4 linked regions of the Drosophila melanogaster genome follow. The protein of the gene in region 1 interacts with the protein of each later gene in a pairwise test. Each region holds a gene or a part of one and is shown in the gene's direction. Other genes may lie near its edges. The genes, in order: CG4716, CG13461, CG33655 and CG6357.

Region 1 (4,505 bases):
CGCCAGATTCGATCTGTGGCTTCTCCTCCCGCGGCTCATCGCCAGCTGGTTGGTTGCCCTCCTCTGGCTTGGAGATCACTTCGGGCTCAGCTGTTGATTCTGGTGGCACAACCACTGGAACAGTGTCTACCTCGGATTTTTCACCTGCCTCGATGGCCTCCACCACGTGCAAGACTTCTTCCGTAGAGGCATGATTCTGGGACATTTTTGGTGTTAATGTGTGTGTGTGTTTTGTTTTTTTTTTGGTGTTTTTGTTGTTTTTAAATGTTTTTATTATTTTATATTTTTTTGTGTGTGTTTATTTTGTGTTACCTGTGGGTGTGTTGTGTTTTTGAGTTTCTATCTTATTGTGACAAATAACTCAAGCTAAATAATAGGTAATAAAAAGTTTATGTCAATATGGATTAATTAAAATTTAAATATATAAATAATAAATACATATATCCAATACTTTTTGCAAAGCTCTTGCAGTACAAGTTATAAATGAACGCATTTGATTTAAAGAAAAACTGGTATACTTTTAGGCTTGACATACTAATACTATATCCATTTAGATTAAACGTTCTTAAGCAATAAACAAAATGAATTTAAATGATATGAACTTGTGTAAACAGATTCTTTAGTCTTAATAAGAAGGCGATTTTTTATTTTTAAGAACTACAGCTCCATTACCGAACTTTGTGTGGAATTAAGGCGAAACTGCCGGACTTTAAGCACCATCTGGGGTCCAATTGGAGGACCTAAGTAAATCTTGCGAGGGCTTTAAAGTTGATTGATCGTTGCCCATTGTGTGCGTGTGTTCTTGGAATTTTTTTTGTCCGGGTGCGGTAAACTTTATGACATTGATAAATTTTTAATAAATATGACAAAATGTCGGCGCTTTAATTCACTGCCATTTTGGGCAGCGGCACCTGGTGCCTGGAGCAAGGATTTACATAAAAGTGCTGCAGTGCTGAAGAGTATAATTTGCATGGGAAGCACTGCAGCACGTGGAATGGATTTCGGGTCTTAATACTTTCCGTTTGATTGTCTGGGCGTGGAAATTGATTCAGCACAATGCCAAATTGCTTTAAATTATGCATGAGCCTGCGACTTTGCTCCACCCAATCCACTGCTTTCCCTTTGATGTTGCGGAGGACATCTGGGAATCATATTCAATAAGTTGGATCCGCAGTAAGAGGGCAAATAACTTTTTTTATGACAGACGCAATGGGCCAATCCCCTTTGATGGCTGTTAAATAAATTTGTTTTCGATGTTATTTAAGACGCTGCCATTGCCGCGCCTTCAGGTGAATAATAGCCAACTTTCTGATGGATATTTAATAGTCGGGTAAACACCGGTGACACTATAATTGCCCCTACTGGGCACTCATCAGTGGACACATGTGACCTACCGGTGGACGCACTTCCCAGTCGTCTCACGTCTTCTTCGGCGAAACCGAAAGGGAATCCTTTTGCTATTTATCATTCAGTCCGAAACTTTTCGGGAATCCTTTCACTTTTTTTTTTTGTTTGCTTATCTGTCTTAAGTGGCATTTTTGGCTTAGGCGTCTACAGTATCTGTCGGATACTTAGGAGAACTCTTGAACTTGACTTTCCCTCCACGAAACGCTTCAATTACGCTGGCACGTTGCGCCGGCAAAATTGTAATTTACGAGTGTTTCTCTACACAGCGCGGGAAAAGATAGTCTTTTGGATACACAAATCGAACAGATTAAAAAATGATAAACAATTTTATGGTAAAAGTTTTCGTTTTACTTACTTTTACTTATATGAAAAGAAGAAATAGGCAAGCGCTTAACTTTCGGATTTTTTGATTTAATGGAGCTCTTTGGAATTCATTTTTTCATTAATAAATTTAATTTTATATTTTTTCCCAGAAATTATATATACATATATATGCTGTTTAGATTAGAAGTTCAATTTATGTGGGTCGTTCTTTAAAAACAAATATGGATTTCACTGAAAAGCATTAAAAGATTAGATGAGTTAACATATATATTATATATATATTTAATTAAGGAATTTATCTATAAAACAAAATTGTAAAGCTAATAAAAAAATATTATGTATTCAACAAGATTTTGAGTGTTTAAATTTGTTTTAAAATAATTCTGAATACAAAAATATTACCTGTGACTGGTAAATTTACATTTTTTGCTTGCTGTGTACTCGGATTATACTTATACATTTTTGCTCATCTGTTTTGAAGTAGCATCAATAATTACAAATTGCGCGTCGGGATGATCTGTAGTGATCCGTGGGCTTATCAGGCCTGACTTTGGCAGCTCGATAGTGCATCGCGTTCCACAGCCTCTCAATTTGTTGTCATGAATTATGCAAGTGAGTCTGGATTTCTGGACTCGCAATTGGCGCAAACTCGGAAATTGCGCAGTGCCGCGGAAACTGAAAATGGGAGAGAGTGTTATGTGCAATCTATATGAAATATATGTATTTATACATTCGCATTTGATGGAAGCTTTAATTACGGTTGCACCCGTAATCTGAAAATCTGGACAGAAACGAACTTTTGAGGTTTCTTGGCAAATCTTTGCCATCGGTCGTAGTCAGTTTGCAAAATAAGGTCTTGGCGCAAAGTGTGCCTAGAGGAGCACAGGAGAGTTTACATACCTTAAAAGGTTATACCACAAGGACTAGATCAATGCAGCGATCACTGTTACTACTGGCCGTGTCAGCCATCCTTTTCTGTGCTGCAGTGGCTCTGCCCTCAAGACTAACCAAATCCGAGGAGGATTGGCTGGAGCAGATGCTGACGCTGAGCGAAGACAGCGGTGAACTGCAGGACCTGGACGAGAGCACCGGAATCCATATTATCAAACGATCTGCCAAGGATGCCAGCAGCTCATCTGAGGAGCATAATGACAAAGCCAAAGACAAGGCCAAGAACAAGGCGGACAGCTCCGGCGATTCCTCCTCCGAGGAAAAGACAACACCAGCTGCGGTAGAAGAAACAACTACGGAGCACACTGCTAGGAAACGCAGAAGCACGGAGGATACGATGGTGCGATCCTTTTGCCAGTCACTGAAAGAATTCGATATTAAGAATTTCAATCTACAATCTGCATATGACCGGGCCGTAAGCTTTTGTAAGCAAAGGGAGTCTAGACGAAGACGCCAGGCTGCCGATCAGAAATCCAGCGATGCGCCGGACCTGGATGCCCAGGCTGAGAAGGAACTGGACGAGCAGATGGCGCAGGCTGTGGCGGAGCTTTTGAAGGACAAGGACAACACCAGCATCGAAGACTACGCCCAGGGATGCGAGGTCATGGAGGTTAGCTCCAAAGAGGCCAACGAGGCCACCTATGCCGAATGATTTTGAATAAACATAAATAACATTATAGCTTATGTTTTCGTAGCCATATTACATTTTTACTATTATTATAATGACTGAGTCATCAAAACAAGAGATTAGGCTATTGCCTATGTATTATTTACTTTTTAACTTATGGGGTGTGTTTATTCAAGTTTACGAGTAACACGTATAAATATCAGCAACAAGAAATATTTTCCTCTTCTAATAATTAATTTTGCCATATTATTTAACTATTACAATTTTCATTACTTGAAATGCATTTGGAAATTAGCTCACCTAACATTGAAACTTAGCTTATTTAATTGTGTAAGTCAAATTATGCATTACGTGTCTGTTTTAAGGGACTAAGTGCGTCTGTTTCAATCTACATGCATTATAAAGAGTCATTTCTGAAACCCACTATCTGCCTGACTCAATTGAATTTGAGTCTATAATCACATAATCGCCGAGGAGGCGATAGCACATTTGTTGAGGCTTCGCCGGTAACGTGTGCAGCTGTCCAGAATCAGTTCGAAAAAATCAGTCTCAGCGAGAAGAACCCACCCATCAAGCTAGTGGAATAGTGGAGTTTACCAGGATATACAAAGATTACCGGGATGCGTCGATCTGTTTTGCTGTTCCTAATCTCCGCCATTGTGCTGAGCGCGGCACTTCCTTTGCCCCCAATTTGGGAGGACTCCGAATCGGATTCCGAGTATAATGATTATAGTGAGCTATCGAAGCAGCAGAATCTGAAGAGCAGTATCGAGAAAACTATCAGCAAGCGAGCTACCAAGGACACTAGTAACAGCACGGAAGATGATGAGCTCACGGATGGTAGCAATGAGAATGTTAACGATAAAATGGACAGCTCAATGGAATCGTCTTCTATGCTGATCATGGCATCCGAGGAAGAATCGGAGTCCGCTGTCAGAAGGCGCAGGTCTGGTGAGAGGAACAGGAATATAGGGCTCCTGGCCACGATTTGCCCAAATGCTGATTTCAGAGATTTGGAGAACGGTATTACCCTAGATTCTAGAATTGAAATAAGGGATATGTATGCGATTTGTAAAACTCTACCAGAGTCCGGTCGTCTACAGCAATACAACCGTTCATAAATTAAATAAAAGCAAAGAAGAATTCTAAAAATTTAAAAATTCTTCTGAAATTTGTTTCCCTCAGTCATGAAACC
Region 2 (3,856 bases), on another chromosome or scaffold:
GGCCTGCAGCCAACCCAAATTCATCTGGGGAGCTGCATTGCCATAGGCAAGGATACCGGCAAAGATCAGAAGAGCAAATGCTATGGATTGCATGATTATCAAAAGTATACAGGCTGAGTGCAACTGAGACTATGATTTTCAATTAGCTTATCTTTGTTTTTATATCTTTAAAAAGTTGTCCAAATCGATCGATTTATTGTGACATGATTACATTATGCTAACAATCGTCAAGGTTCCATCATGGCCTACGATATATTTAGTTAGAAGTAGTTATTGTTTTTGGCTTACCACAAATACGACACCGAACATGTGAGTAAATATTAAGAAGTTTCGAGTAAGCGGAGCAAAACAAGCTAATGTGCTATGAATCAGAAAATAAGAATATGGAGGGCCATTCCCAAAATTTGTAAACAATTGTAGGTGGAACAGTGGTTATTCTACAAAGAAATAAAAAGGAGTCATTAATTTGATATAGACATTTTCATAAGCAAGTTAACTATGGATTATAACATGCTGTGTTTGCTTTCCTTAGGTTATACAATATATTGTATATAAAAGTATGACGTTAGCCACGTTTCACTGTAATCTTTATACGTTCTCCAAGTTCCGTCAGTCAAATGTTTACGCACGACTTTGCCTCATTTTTTGACGCTCAAACCAAGGCAACAGCTGTCGCGGGGTAAACACAAAACGAACCAAATAAATTGTCACAATGCGCGCTTTTATTTTTCTGCCAATTTAGAGATTTTGCTATAAAAGCGTATTTTCAATGTGGAACTGAACTTAGTTGAAAACTAAATTTGACAATACAATGCGTGCCTATTTGCTGCTTGCCCTGTTTGGATGTGTGCTTTTGGCCACAGTTTCCGCAAATCCGGTGGACATTGACGACTTGGAGGACCTCGAGGAGGACAAACGAATTGCTGATGAGCAGGATAATGCTAACGATGATGAGAAAGACGATGAGGATTCAAATGAACCCGAGTCCGACGACGACTTAGATGAGCCTGAATCCCCGGAGGACGATTCCCAGAACAATGATGATTCCGAAAGCGACGAGAGCATCCAGTACAATCAAGATGAAGAGTAGCTCTAATGGGAATTAACCCTTTCTATTCTTTATTGTCTTTATCTACACGCTTTCACCGGTCGTTAGACGTTTAAACAACTGTTTACACAGAAATACACAGTTCATCTTCAACAACCAAATAAGTAAAGGTTTTTATGTTATTCTAGTAAATACACACATTTCTGGAAACACCCATCATAATTGGTGCTTTTTACTTAACTTCTTTTTATACAGCTCTTAAATGATTTTGTAAAGAATTACATACTAAACAAAATCTTAAAAATGCAATTTTTATTTAATTAATTGGCCTCAAAGCCACTCTTAATACTCTTATTTCAGCGCAGGGAAAAAGAAATAATTTTCTGCCTGTAATGTGTGGCTCAATAGATCAATAAATGTTTTATCTCTCAAATATTTACTTAACATTAGTAAGGTGCAGCCATTGTGCAGTTTGCAATAGAAATTTTAAAGCAAACACGGCATTCATATATAAGAAGTGCAGTACTTTGAAAAAACTTATTCAAAGAAGAACTAAGTCTACGAAATAGAGATGCACTTTCTGATGGTACTCGTGATAATTGCTCTTTTGGCCATGGCCTTTGTGAGTGCAAGCCCACTTCCCCATCCAAGTGGAGAAGTTATCGTTATTGTCAACCCAAAAGCCCCAGTTGACTGGTGCTCTACAACATCAGCGGCTTAAATTCGAAAATACAAAAATATTTAGAAATTCTCCCCCGATGCAATTTCTCAAACACAAAATATGAAATGAGCAACTGATAAATCACCAATAAAGAAAATAAAAATAAAACTTATTCAGGGTAAAACTTTTAAATACGTTTTTTGGTCTTTATAAGTTAAATGAAATCAATAAACGTTTTGAAGTTCGATTTGGAGATATCAGATTTTTTATTTTGCTTTATATTAGCACATATTACCACGACGGAAATGAAAATCCTTTAGGCGAAGTAAATAGTAATGAAGGTAAGAAAATTTGTATCTAATGTTTTAAAAAGGCCAAAAACCATTCACTATCTTTTTAATTCAATGATTGCATGCGAGTGTGTAATAAATATGACAAAATAAAAACAGAGGTCGCTATAGTCAAGTGCCACGACTATTAGATACCTGTTAATCAGAATAGAGGCAAGCACAACGAACCCACTTACTCAAAACAATTCTGGACAATTCCCAGAATAATATCAATTAAGATTGTGCGTCACCACGCAATAATGGGATAAGCATTTGTTCAAATATGAAATTCGTAAATGACTCGTTCAAATAACAAAAAAAGGCATTTAATATAAAAAGCGATTGATCGAGTAAAGTTTCAAATCAGTTTAAAACTTCGCTGAGCACAAGAACACAAAAAAATGCGATTCCTAATTGTCGTTGCTCTTGTGGCCTTTTTGGCTGTTGGTCTTGTGGCTGCACGGCCAGCTGAGGATGAGGAGTCCTCCATCCAGGATAACACCAATGAGGATTCGTCCAGTAATGATGGCGAGGGAAACTCCGATGCTGCCGAGGAAGAACCTGCTGTTGAAGAAAGTCAAGATTCTGGAAATGTGGATAACCAGGATGATGAAAATAGCGAGGATAATCAGGAGGAGTCAGATAATGAATCAAGCGGAGATGATGAGGAAGATAACAACGGGTCTGATGATAATACCGAATCGGATAATAATAACGATTCAGAAGGCGATCAGGAGCAGGATGCTCCACCCAACAACCAGATTCGACCATTCGGACCTCTTCTCATCCAAGCAAGGCCCCTTTTCCTCGATTAATAACACGTGTTTTTAAAATATCCATTAACAATAAACATTAGACAAAATGCTTTAAAATTATACAACAAATAAAACAGTAAATAAATTAAAGCTATATATGTCGATCGATATGAAAAAACGCCACAAAGTATATAATACTTTTTGCAGAATTTGTTTAGCTTGAGGGGCTTGTCTACACAGTTAAAAAAATTATATAGAATGAATACGCTTTCATACCATCAGTTTTTAAAAAAATGTATGCTTAAATGTCAGTTAAATAACAGTCTTTGGTATTTAAAATCTGGCCACAAGATTTTAAATAATTTGATTTTGCTAATATGCTGATATTATATATATAGTTAAAGTAAATTATTTCATTTAAAGTACCATAACACAAGATAAGCTGTATGTCATAACCCCAAGTATTTTCGTTAAAATCCCGTGTTACAGAATTGCTTTAGCAATTTTTACGGCTATTTTATTGTAAAACAATATATCTCTAAAGTTTTTGACTGCCATTCCCAGTGATATTATAGCAACAATGATTATATGGGGAATTTGAATAATTTCGTGCTACAGAATTTATATATTTTCAAGTTATTTTTAGTGCAAAGAAAGCTGCTTATGATATATGCCTCTCAGTTCCTAAATATATCTCTTAAATTGTAGTTCACTTACATCGTCAGGTGACGGAAGAGTTGGCAGATAAAACTGCAATATTTACTTTTGTACATATATGGCAATCTACAGATTGCACAGCTTGGCAGGTAAAATTTTTCTGAATAAGAAGAAACATTCCGTTTTTTATATAAAATGTGCAGTTGATAGGAGAAAGGTGTAGTTACCGGAGAAATTCAAGTGGATTAAGATGCGTTATTTAGGAATTATTGCTCTCGTCGCTTTCCTGGCCATTTCCACTGTGATGGCACATCCATATGCGAACAGTAGCACTGAAGAAGGATCAGGATCCAGTAACCGATCGACTATTCGTCCTGTCCCCAGATGGCCTAAGTGGGGTGGAATC
Region 3 (5,832 bases), 8.1 Mb from region 1:
CGGCCAACGACTGGACGGAAAAGGTGCTCTACTGGGAACCGGCGGGCGTACTCCAATGCCTACCCATCTTCAGCATGGCTCTCTCCTGCCAAATGTGTGTACACCCTGCTTTCTATGTCCGCAAAATTTATTTATATATCTGATCTATTTACAGGCAACTATTTGAGGTCTTTGAGAGCATTAACAACCAGAGTCTCGACAAATTAAACGGCATCGTCCGCAATGCCACTTGGATTTGTACTTTTGTTTACATATCTGTTGGTTTTTTCGGATATGTGGCGTTTTGTACGCACACCTTTTCGGGTAAGCCAGCCACCTTTTTGAGGCATTCTCTGTTCTACATATTTGGCTTTGTATTTATAGGCAACATTCTGGTGAACTTATCGACCTCCTTTGGTAGCGATATCATTAAAATTGGCTTTGTGCTGTCAATTGCTTTTAGTTTCCCATTGGTAATCTTTCCCTGCAGAGCCAGTCTCTATTCGCTGCTATACAGAAAGGTATTTTTGTAACTTCAGTTGGATGGTGTAGACACTAAATATCTATTTTGTATAGGGTCATACGGAAAGCAGTAGCTACATACCTGAACAACGCTTTCGATTCATCACTATCTTCATCGTTGTCTTTTCGTTATGCGTGGCTTTGGTTATTCCCTCCGTGGAGCTTATAATTGGCTTGGTGGGTTCCACCATTGGCGTAGCCATTTGTATAATGTTCCCCGCATCCAGTTTTCGAAAAATCATCAAAAAGGAATCTATGGAACGTACGCTTGCCCAGTTTGTATTCGTAAGTGGATTTCTATTGATGATCCTGGGAACGTATGCGAACCTAAGTGCAATTGATGAAAAGAGCTCCGGCCCGGAGTTTGATATGGTTGCCATAGGCACCCCTCTGTATCCCGATGGCCAAGTGCCAGCTGTCGTCGGCGAGCTACCAAAACATTTGGCCAAAGAATCCATTGACAGTGAAAAGAACCTATTGTTAAAGAAACTGGATGTCCAAAATCCAGACAAATTAAAACAAACCGTTGAGGATAAAGTTGTTGATATGCCGGAGGTAGTGCAATCAGCTTCCTCCGACAACCCACCGTTGCCACCACTGCCCATCGATGAAGTCCATGTAGTTCCCATAGATAGTAAAAATTCTGAAACGGATATTAAAAAACTACCAGTAGAAGCCGTAGAAGCAAACCCACCAGAAGCCAAACCACTCGATGTCAACCTTACCGTGGATAAGCCCAAGAATAATCCGCCTGCTGTTGCTGCATCGCTTCCAGATAAACCAAAAATTGGATCGAGCTTGTTATCAGCAAGCAATACAATTGATGGAGCGGCCATCAAGAAGGAGGAGGACGTGGCTGCCGAAGAGCAAAAGGAAAGTAAGGCTAATGCAGATGAGCTACTCAAAACCCAAAAGGAATTAAAGGAGACCAAAAAACTATTGGCGAAAACCGTTGGGGAGCTAAACGAAGAGTTGGCCAAGAAAAATTCATTTAATCAGCCACCTTTGGAGTTACAGAAAGATGAGCCTTTGGATACTGGTGCGAAATTTGCCGAGGAACCGAAGAAGGCTGAAATTAAGCTTAAGGAGTCGCAGCCAGTTGCGGACGAAAAGAAGGAGAGAAGGCGGCAGGCATCGTTAATGGACATACTCACGGAAAATACACATTTGCGCGATGAAAAGGAGGCCCATGCCGGCGTTTTTGAACCTCTATCCTACAAAACCGGAGAGTTACTCAGGAATTCGACCGTAGATAAAGAAGCGCTTATCAAACGATTGCCCATTCCACTAGCCCTAATGGTGAATTCTACTCAGCCGAAATCATCGAATGACTCGGAGATCAAGAAACCCAACCTTGAAGACAATGTAGAGGCCATTCGCCGGGAGCTGCTCAATCTGCGAAGTTCGGCGGATGCGACAGAGCAGCCACCGGCAAGGGTTAAACGTGAGGCCTCAAACGACGAGAACTGCCTACGCCAGCCCAAGCTGGATGAAGTGAATAATAATGTGGCTGCAGCTGCCTTGAGCTTGAACATGGAAAGTATTGGACGCGATCTCAAATCCATCAAAGATGATGACGTCGAGATAGTTACTGAAAACGAATCCTACCAAGCGAGTCCAAATGGAACCCAAACTTCGCTGCAGACGTAATGCGGATAGTTTACAACTATGCAAAGCTTTATGTATATAACCTTTACATGTATTTATTTAGTTTATAAGAAACTGTAGACTAGAAGTATATACAAATTATATACAGTTCATATGACTTGGGAATATTGTGTCAAATTTCTCGTGGAGTTGCTAGCAAAATTGTATGTGAAGCCCAGGTTTTTTGTAATTCCATCAAAATGTCCATCGTCCTTGATGTTATCCAACAAGTTGTGTTGCAGAAAGCTTACGATCTAACATGCGAGGCAGCCATTTTAGCCTTGAGAAAATGTGGCAAAGTGAGTAGGTGTAATATTTTTAAAATAATATTTATATCGCAATGGTTAATTTCTATTTAAGCTGAAAATAGAGGATGGTAAATCGAAAGCAAAGCGTGAAAAGCCTCTACCTCCGGTCAAGCCTATTTCCCAGGAAGCGGTTTCACCAATGAAAGCTCCAACGATTCCCGAGGCTAACACCATTCCAAAATATACGGGACGGGACATGCCTCGAAAGAACTTTGGCTCCATCGATCCCCCCCAATGCTCCTGCATGCGTGTGTGCCGAGATAGTTACTTCTCTTAGACGAAAAAGAACGCTTAAAAACAATTGCAACTTTAATAGAATAGGAATAGCAAAATTTCAAGGGACCTCAGGCATCGAATCTCATTCCATCTTGTATCCGTACAATTATCAAACGTAACACTAATAACAGTTTTTGGTAGCAACTAACAGGTTTGAATATGAGTATTTACGGTGGTTTAGGCCACGTCTGCTCCCAAGGAGTGCAGATCGTACAGGACTTCCAAAATGGCAGCAACACTCCAGGCCTGCGTGCGACAGGAGTCACCGCAGTAGGAGCCATTATCGTTGGTCAACTCGGGCAATCCGCGCCAATGGGATGTCTGTAGCTCTCGGAGATGGGCCCGTAGTATGGCCCAGGTCTCGGCAATGGTCTCGTCCAAATGGCCACACTTTTTGGCGAAGATCAGGCGCGCCCGCAGGTAAAAACCGATGGGCCATACCCACTCCGGCCCCTGGTGGTAGTTTGCGCCATGGGCTACAGTGCAATCGGTGGAGTCATTTGAGTTGTCATAGTTGGCCCTATAGTTCCAGTCCTCGGGATCCATCGTCTTCATGCCCAGCGGTCCCAGAAGATACTTTTTGGCGCGCTCCAGTGCACGCCAGGCATTCTGAGGATTGCACAGGTCGGGAGCCACGGTCAAGGTGATGGGGAAGTTGCATCGCAGCTGGTAGTCCGTCCAACTCTGGGTGGCTCCATAGCTGTCCTTGTAGATAAGCTTCTTGTTGGCCACCGAGCAGGTTTCCGATTCGGATACAAAGAAATACTTGTCAAAGTTGTTCTTGATGCGATCCGCCCACTCCTTGTAGCTCCACTTGGTCACTTCGCCCGATGGACCCTTTCGTTCCACGCCGGTGTACGGGATAACCTCCTTTTCGGCTAGGCTTTGCATAAACCGGAGTACGGCATACTGGAGGCCAACGAGCTCCACGGCTGATCCGTCGCGCGGCGTACTTGGACGTCCCTTGTTTCCGGCCTTCTGTGAGGATCCCATTTTGTCCATCCAAGTGCCGCAGTTGAAGTTATTGCCTCCGAATACAAAGCCAGTCTCCGGGTGAATTCCGATCTGATTGTTAAAGCCCTGGTCCACCATGTGCGCATCGATCTCATAGCCTGCATTGCGCTCCCTATACTGCAAGCCCTGAAAATGCACCTGCAGTGCCTCCTGCATCACGTCGAAGAGAAGTTGGTCGAAGGCACCTGGAGCATGGGCATCGGCATCGTCGTACGGAAATATGCGGGACACCTTGTCCTTCAGGATCTCGGCACCCTTGGGGGCATCCTCCACATACTGCTTGATGCAGTACATCCACCACCAGATAGCATCGCGGCAGTTGAATCTCGGCTTGCTGCCGCTGTCCAAAAGATTCGGAATGAGTCCGTGTCGAAGGGTCTGACCAAATCCAATGATGATGAAGCGAGCCTCGTTGTAACGGCCAGTGAGGAACATGGAGCCACGCAGAGCGATGAAGGTATCACGGCCCCAGCACCGCATATAGCCTACATAAATGGTTGAATATTCCATTATTCCGTTTCGATTGTTAAATATAATAGATAAACTCACCCGTTGAGAAATGCGGCAGACCAGCAGATAGAGTCACACATTGCTTTGGAGGCTTGGGTGGACTTAGAGCAGGACTGAATCCCGGCAGATTGGCCGACTTGCAAACGGAGAGGAACTGCAACGTGGACAGGGCCAGGGATTGTGGGAAACTGTGGCCATTCTTAATGAAGCTGTAAAAATTAAAGACTTAATAAAAACTCCATGAATGCAGTCGGCTCTAATGGACATACTCTGGCATTAGTTCGTTGACCTGGTTGATGAGCACATTGTAAACCCCGCTGACAATGGCATCAAAGTAGCAGGGTATGAGGTAGCGTGGAATATTCTTCAGTGGCTCAAAGGTAGCTTTGAACCAGGCGGAGAGTGGTTTCAGGTCTTCATAACTAGTTAGGCGATCAGAAATGTAATCTGAAAAGAATTATGTTGTAAAGTAACTACATAAATCTCTATCTTTACAAACTTACCCATCATCCAGTTTCCGTCGCGCAGATTGTTACAAAGCGGATGTCCCAAGTCATTTTTAGGCGAAATCTCCGTCAACAGGGAAATGAATCCTTGCAATCCGCAGTAAACGATCTTTCCAAAGTTGGGAATGTCGTAGGCGGTGCCACCTTTGCCAAGATCCCTCTCCTCATCATCGCAGCTGAAAAGGGCACCACTAAGTGCCACCAGATCCAACTTGGAGACGATAGCCTGCAGCTGGGAATACTCCTCGCCAGATCCAATACGCAGGGCAGCCGAGATTTTCTGGAGCTTATCGAAACTGGTGCGAGGACCAGGATGCATAGACACTCTGATGGCCACCACAGTGCCGGGTCGTAGATTGGCAAAGTTTAGCTCCGTGTTGTTGCCATCCGAATAGGCTTGGGTCTGAAACACTGTCGACTTAGCCAGCGGGATGTGCTCCTGCAGATTCAACTGGAACTGAGTAAAGCCGTTGATTACATTCGGATCCTTTTTGAATGGAGCAGGACGATCGAATGGCTTGTCACTCTGCATGGTCAAGCTGGCCTCCAGGATGATCTCGTCCAGCACACCCTCGAAACGCAGCGGGCGGATTCCGGTGGGTCCGGCATTAGGAGAGGGATAGCCAAAGGCAGTGTGGGCCACGAGAATAACTGACTGATGCGTGATTGGCGAATGACGAGTAACTGCAACTACGTTGGGATCCATCTGGTCTACGTAAACTTGGCTAAATCCCTCCTCTGCGAGCTGTCCATGCAGCAAATTCAGTGCTCTTTTGGCACCCATAATTCCGGACTTCGAGTCAACACCTTTGCCCCATTCTTGGTAGGTGCGTTCCTCATCTACGACATGGATCTGGGAAAAAAGTATGAGTTAGTTTCAGGAATAAATCTTAAACGAATGAACGCTCACATGATGGGGGACCAGTTCGTCGTAACCACGGTTACTTCCTGTGGCACAGCATGCCATGGAAACCAGTGCCGCCGATGGTAGAAGATCGTACACGGAACGCTTCTCCACCGGAGACGGATTATCGTGGGTGAGGTCCAGGAAGAGGGCATGAGCGACACTG
Region 4 (5,144 bases), 580 kb from region 1:
GCTGTCCACCGTTCCAGATGCGGATGTGCTCAACGATGTGGCTGCAGATGACGCTGGGACTGGCCCTGCTGGGTGCTGTGTCATTGCAGCAACTGCAGTCGTTTCCCAAGCTCTGCGATGTGCAAAACTTCGACGACTTCCTCCGGCAGACGGGCAAGGTGTACTCGGATGAGGAGCGAGTCTATCGCGAGAGCATCTTCGCGGCCAAGATGTCGCTGATCACGCTGAGCAATAAGAACGCCGACAACGGCGTGTCCGGATTCCGGCTGGGCGTCAATACGCTGGCCGACATGACCAGAAAGGAGATAGCCACCTTGCTGGGCTCCAAAATCTCCGAATTTGGCGAGTAAGTAGCACCATCTTACGCATATCTAGAGCTCGGGGGAAGTCCCCTTTTTGGCCATAAACGAATTATCACCCAGCTTATAACTTTCAAACGGGTTTCGGTATCGTCGTCCATATGATTTGTAACGTTACGTAGGTGCCGATTGGTTTCCCGGTTATGCTAATCAAGAAATCAGAATTGATCAAATATTCCGACCATAGGTTTGTGGTTTCCCGAAAACTATAACCAAATGGGTGGAAACAAACAAAACCCTTCCATATCGAACTTATTTATTACGACGAAGCTCCATAACAAATGTTTCATAACTTATCGGTTGTTTGTCATACATTTAAGAACATTATGAATAACATTTAAATGTAGTCTGGTTGCCACTTAAGTAAGCTACTAATTTGCTTTAATCTTTGCTTAACGGAATACTAAAATGTTTTACTTACCTTGCAGGAGATATACGAATGGCCATATCAACTTTGTGACTGCCAGGAATCCGGCGAGTGCCAATCTTCCCGAGATGTTCGATTGGCGCGAGAAGGGCGGAGTGACGCCACCGGGATTCCAGGGTGTGGGATGCGGTGCCTGCTGGTCGTTCGCCACCACAGGAGCGCTCGAAGGACATCTATTCCGGCGGACTGGAGTGCTGGCCTCGCTGTCGCAGCAGAATCTGGTGGACTGTGCCGATGACTACGGCAACATGGGCTGTGACGGTGGCTTCCAGGAGTACGGTTTCGAGTACATACGCGATCACGGTGTAACGCTGGCCAACAAATATCCGTACACACAGACGGAGATGCAGTGCCGTCAGAACGAAACCGCCGGACGTCCACCGCGCGAGAGTCTGGTGAAAATTCGCGATTATGCCACCATTACTCCCGGGGATGAGGAGAAGATGAAGGAGGTGATTGCCACGTTGGGACCGTTGGCGTGCTCCATGAACGCGGACACCATTTCGTTTGAGCAGTACAGCGGTGGCATCTACGAGGACGAGGAGTGCAATCAGGGCGAACTGAATCACTCGGTAACCGTGGTGGGCTATGGAACGGAAAATGGACGCGACTACTGGATCATCAAGAACTCGTACTCTCAGAATTGGGGCGAGGGCGGCTTTATGCGCATCCTCCGGAATGCAGGTGGATTCTGCGGCATCGCCAGCGAGTGCAGCTACCCCATTCTGTAGGCTCACAACTGCGCCATGCAATTAGTTAGATAGTATAGTCAATTAAAAACCACGAATTTATAACTTTGTTACTGTAGTCGTAAGCTGTGTGGGTCACCACATCGATTCCATGAGTCACGCGGTTAATAAATGAAACAAGTGCCTTATCGGTTTGTGTTGCTTTCTGGGGAAATTCTGAGAAATTGGATCGTAGTCTTAACGGCTATGCACACAAAAATTAATTTTCGGTCTTATTTATTTTTTGAGAAACATTTTCTTAATGAAGAACAACGCTGTGTGGGAAGTTGTTTGAGAAAGTAATAAATTTCAATTTGGCAAAGTGGATAGAAAATGAACAATGCACACATAACCGTATAACCGTGTAAATTTGCGACAAATTTAATATAAACAAGAAATAACGCTACAGTCGGGTGTCACGACTAATGCATACCCGTTAATCAGAAAAAGCTGCAAGCAGCGTAACGTTTGTTTACAGCATTTGTGTGGAAAACACATACATATCTAGAATGTAGTTGTTACATTCCTATCAACGAGCCTAGTATTCCCGCCGAGTAATGGGTATAAAAACGGGGCTTAAATTTCAAATTAATTTAATTCAATACTATTGCAACAAATCATAAAGCAATTATGCCAGTTGTTATATATTTGGTGGGCAAGGTCACGTAAATGCAGTTACTCTTTTAAAAGATCAACACTTAAGAGAAAAGAGAGCAAAAGAAATCGCTCTCGTTGTCGGTTTTTATTTAGATTTCTCTCTGAATGCAGCTGATTTTGAGTACTTGCAATTATATATGTATGTATTCCCCATATAATTCGCGATTCTGGCAGTGCGGAGCGCAGTACGAGAAAAGTGTTCAAGATGACCTCAGCTCGAATTTTACTTGGCGTCCCACTGCTCCTGTATTTGATGGGCGTGGCTCTGGGCGTACCAGTAAGCACATCATCACCTGCTACACAAAAAATCAATCCAGAGATTGGGGTTACTACTGGGAAAAGCGACGCTGACTCATCGACACCCACAATTGAACACACCTCTGGCTTATCTGAGTTCGAGGAGGAATGCCAGTTTGCATGGCAAAGGTTCTTGGTAAGTTTTTTGATCGCATAATTCCAAGAAAGGGTATCGTTCAAGGAAGTTATTTGTATACACTCCAAGGTCGACTTTGATGTACACTACGATAATGACTACGAACGGCAAAAGCGACGTGATATATTCTGCGAAAATTGGCAAAAAGTTCGCGATCACAATTTGAAATACGATTTGGGAGTTGTCAGCTTCAAGAAGGGTATCAACCAGTGGAGTGATCTTACCTTTGAAGAGTGGAAAGAGAAACAAACTCCCAAAGTTATGCCAGAAATCGCTAGTGAATCATCAAAGGAGGAGCGAGACAAAGTCAATTGCCAGGCTGCATGGGAAAAGTTTTTGGTAAGATTAGCTAGGTTATTAAAACCAACTTGGTATTAATATGTATGATATGAATTACAGATTGACTTTGGAGCGCAGTATAAGAATGCAAATGAAACCGAGAAACGCCGCAATGTATTTTGTGCAAACTGGAGGGCGATTGTGGAGCACAATGTGCAGTATGAAAAGTGGGCAGAGCCCTTCAAGAGGGACATAAATCAGTGGACTGATCATACTATTGAGGAACGATCTAGTCCTGCTCCCGAGATTCGTAAGGAAGAAGCCACTACATCTACATCCGAAATAGATAATGATAATATCATATGCCAGCCGGCTTGGGAGAAGTTCCTGGTAAGATATGGTTGGGTATTTAAAGAATTTTTATTAAAGTTGCTTTTATCAATTGCAGATTGACTTTAAGCCGTCTTATCAAGATGATACTGAAACCGAAAAGCGACGAAATGTATTTTGCGACAACTTTAAGTCGATACATAAGCACAATGTTCAATTCGATTTGGGAAATATTTCTTTTAAGAAGGGTATAAATCAGTGGAGTGATTTGACCGTTGAGGAGTGGAAAAACAAACAACGACCTGCTTTTAATCCAGAGTTTTCTAAAGTTGAAGCTACTACAAAAATATCTAAGGATAAGAGGGATGATAATACATGTCAGGCAGCATGGAAAAAGTTTTTGGTAATATTTGGCTTGCAATGTAAATAGAATTTGAGAATTTGAATGAATATATCTTTATTACAGATTGATTTCGGTGCGAAATATCAAGATGAAAAAGAAACAGAAAAACGCCGAACTATATTTTGCGACAATTGGAAAGCGATTCAGGAACACAATGAGCAGTTCGAATTGGGAGTGGAATCTTTCAAGAAGGGCATAAATCAGTGGAGTGATCTAACTGTAGAAGAGTGGAAAACCAAACAACGACCTAATTTAGCTCCAGAGTTTTCAAAAGAAGAAACGACTACAAAAATAAGCAAGGAGAAGAAATACAAAAAAAATGTTTTTTAAAAACTAGATGATAAGATATTGTACCGAGTACATTTTCAGATGAAATGTTTGTCACCTTTTAAATACACGCAAAAATATTGCTACTAACGCAAAGAGAATACCTTAGTGATTTTGGGTTAATTTTTAAAAATATGTATTTATTATTATTTCTTGAGGGGCTGTCCAGTTGAGAATCTTGCTTGAGGAGTTTATCTATTACAATAGTGTTTCGCAAATGTTCAAGCCGATTTTATGGCTGGGTTCGCTATTTAAATCGATCATTAAGTTTTAAATGAGTAAATTTTGTTTTATGTTTCTTTCACTACCTTTTTGTTTTATAACGCACACGAACTCTAAATGATTAATTTATACTTGTATATTTGCTGAGATCCCTATCTCCTTGTTGCATTTAACAGGGCGCATTATTCGTATTACACATACAATCCGTAAATATATATAATATATATGTATATAGTATTTAATTTAACAAATACATTTGTAGGTTATCGCAAGTTGCTGCACTAAGTGAACGTTTTTATGTAATCAATATGTTTACATTCATTGATATCTGAGTACATCGAAGTGGACAACACACCGCTTCTTTACAATGCATAATGGGTATTGTTGGGGCATTTATAGTTACTATACAAATCTTTTGGTAGGAAGGGGGTGGCAACAGTAAGCCTTGAACAAGCCCTATACCATTTCATATCTTCAGCGTGTTTTTGCGAACCATAACTAGAAATATTCCTGCAGTAATCTCCCGAGTACTGAATCCCTCACAACAATTCTACGGTTATTGAATCTCTTATGGTTTAGAATTTACATATTGTTTGGCGTTTATTGTAAGTGGTTGCATTTGCTGCTCATCTAACCAAGCATCGACCCTGGCCACAGGTTCTATATTTGTTGGGTAAATCTCAGATGGTAAATTGGATATGTGGCTTGAGCAGTGTGGTTCGTACATATGTATGTCCTTCAGGTGGCCGAATCGCATCAACTATTTGCATCAACTATTTGCACTGCACGTGTGTAAATTTATCTAAAAAAACATCATGTTTTCCTCTGTCTCGAGCTATTGCCATTGCTAACAAGCTGATCATCGGGGGGACCAGGGTCTGGCACCAAAACAAATCAATTCAAATCAATTCAAATGGTACGTACACGTAAACACTAAATAACTAACAACGTTGAAAGCGCGGTCTGCATGTATACATAT

What was found.
Region 2: the proteins of CG4716 (region 1) and CG13461 interact in a two-hybrid assay, tested with the Drosophila melanogaster proteins (one large-scale study listed by BioGRID).
Region 3: the proteins of CG4716 (region 1) and CG33655 interact in a two-hybrid assay, tested with the Drosophila melanogaster proteins (one large-scale study listed by BioGRID).
Region 4: the proteins of CG4716 (region 1) and CG6357 interact in a two-hybrid assay, tested with the Drosophila melanogaster proteins (one large-scale study listed by BioGRID).

The regions. Positions count from the first base shown.
Region 1 is NT_033778.4:13,254,021-13,258,525, forward strand, and holds CG4716 (uncharacterized protein), read left to right. Parts: upstream 1-2,566; 5' UTR 2,567-2,662; coding exon 2,663-3,334; 3' UTR 3,335-3,426; downstream 3,427-4,505. Other genes in the region: CG4714 (uncharacterized protein), read right to left, coding at 1-205; CG10799 (uncharacterized protein), read left to right, coding at 3,931-4,431.
Region 2 is NT_037436.4:15,051,059-15,054,914, reverse strand, and holds CG13461 (uncharacterized protein), read left to right. Parts: upstream 1-2,424; 5' UTR 2,425-2,439; coding exon 2,440-2,853; 3' UTR 2,854-2,984; downstream 2,985-3,856. Other genes in the region: EAChm (enhancer of acetyltransferase chameau), read right to left, coding at 1-93; CG18649 (uncharacterized protein), read left to right, coding at 812-1,090; CG43680 (uncharacterized protein), read left to right, coding at 1,620-1,769; CG43679 (uncharacterized protein), read left to right, coding at 3,701-3,856.
Region 3 is NT_033778.4:21,316,480-21,322,311, reverse strand, and holds CG33655 (uncharacterized protein), read left to right. Parts: upstream 1-2,294; 5' UTR 2,295-2,348; coding exon 2,349-2,447; coding exon of another isoform or gene 2,448-2,451; intron 2,452-2,508; coding exon 2,509-2,733; 3' UTR 2,734-2,909; coding exon of another isoform or gene 2,910-4,231; 3' UTR 4,232-4,295; coding exon of another isoform or gene 4,296-4,465; 3' UTR 4,466-4,519; downstream 4,520-5,832. Other genes in the region: CG30394 (uncharacterized protein), read left to right, coding at 1-94, 155-303, 364-500, 556-2,151; CG9485 (uncharacterized protein), read right to left, coding at 2,910-4,231, 4,296-4,465, 4,526-4,703, 4,760-5,615, 5,673-5,832.
Region 4 is NT_033778.4:13,837,702-13,842,845, forward strand, and holds CG6357 (uncharacterized protein), read left to right. Parts: upstream 1-2,351; 5' UTR 2,352-2,376; coding exon 2,377-2,604; intron 2,605-2,673; coding exon 2,674-2,943; intron 2,944-3,003; coding exon 3,004-3,273; intron 3,274-3,331; coding exon 3,332-3,616; intron 3,617-3,679; coding exon 3,680-3,946; 3' UTR 3,947-4,042; downstream 4,043-5,144. Other genes in the region: CtsL2 (cathepsin L2), read left to right, coding at 18-346, 788-1,517.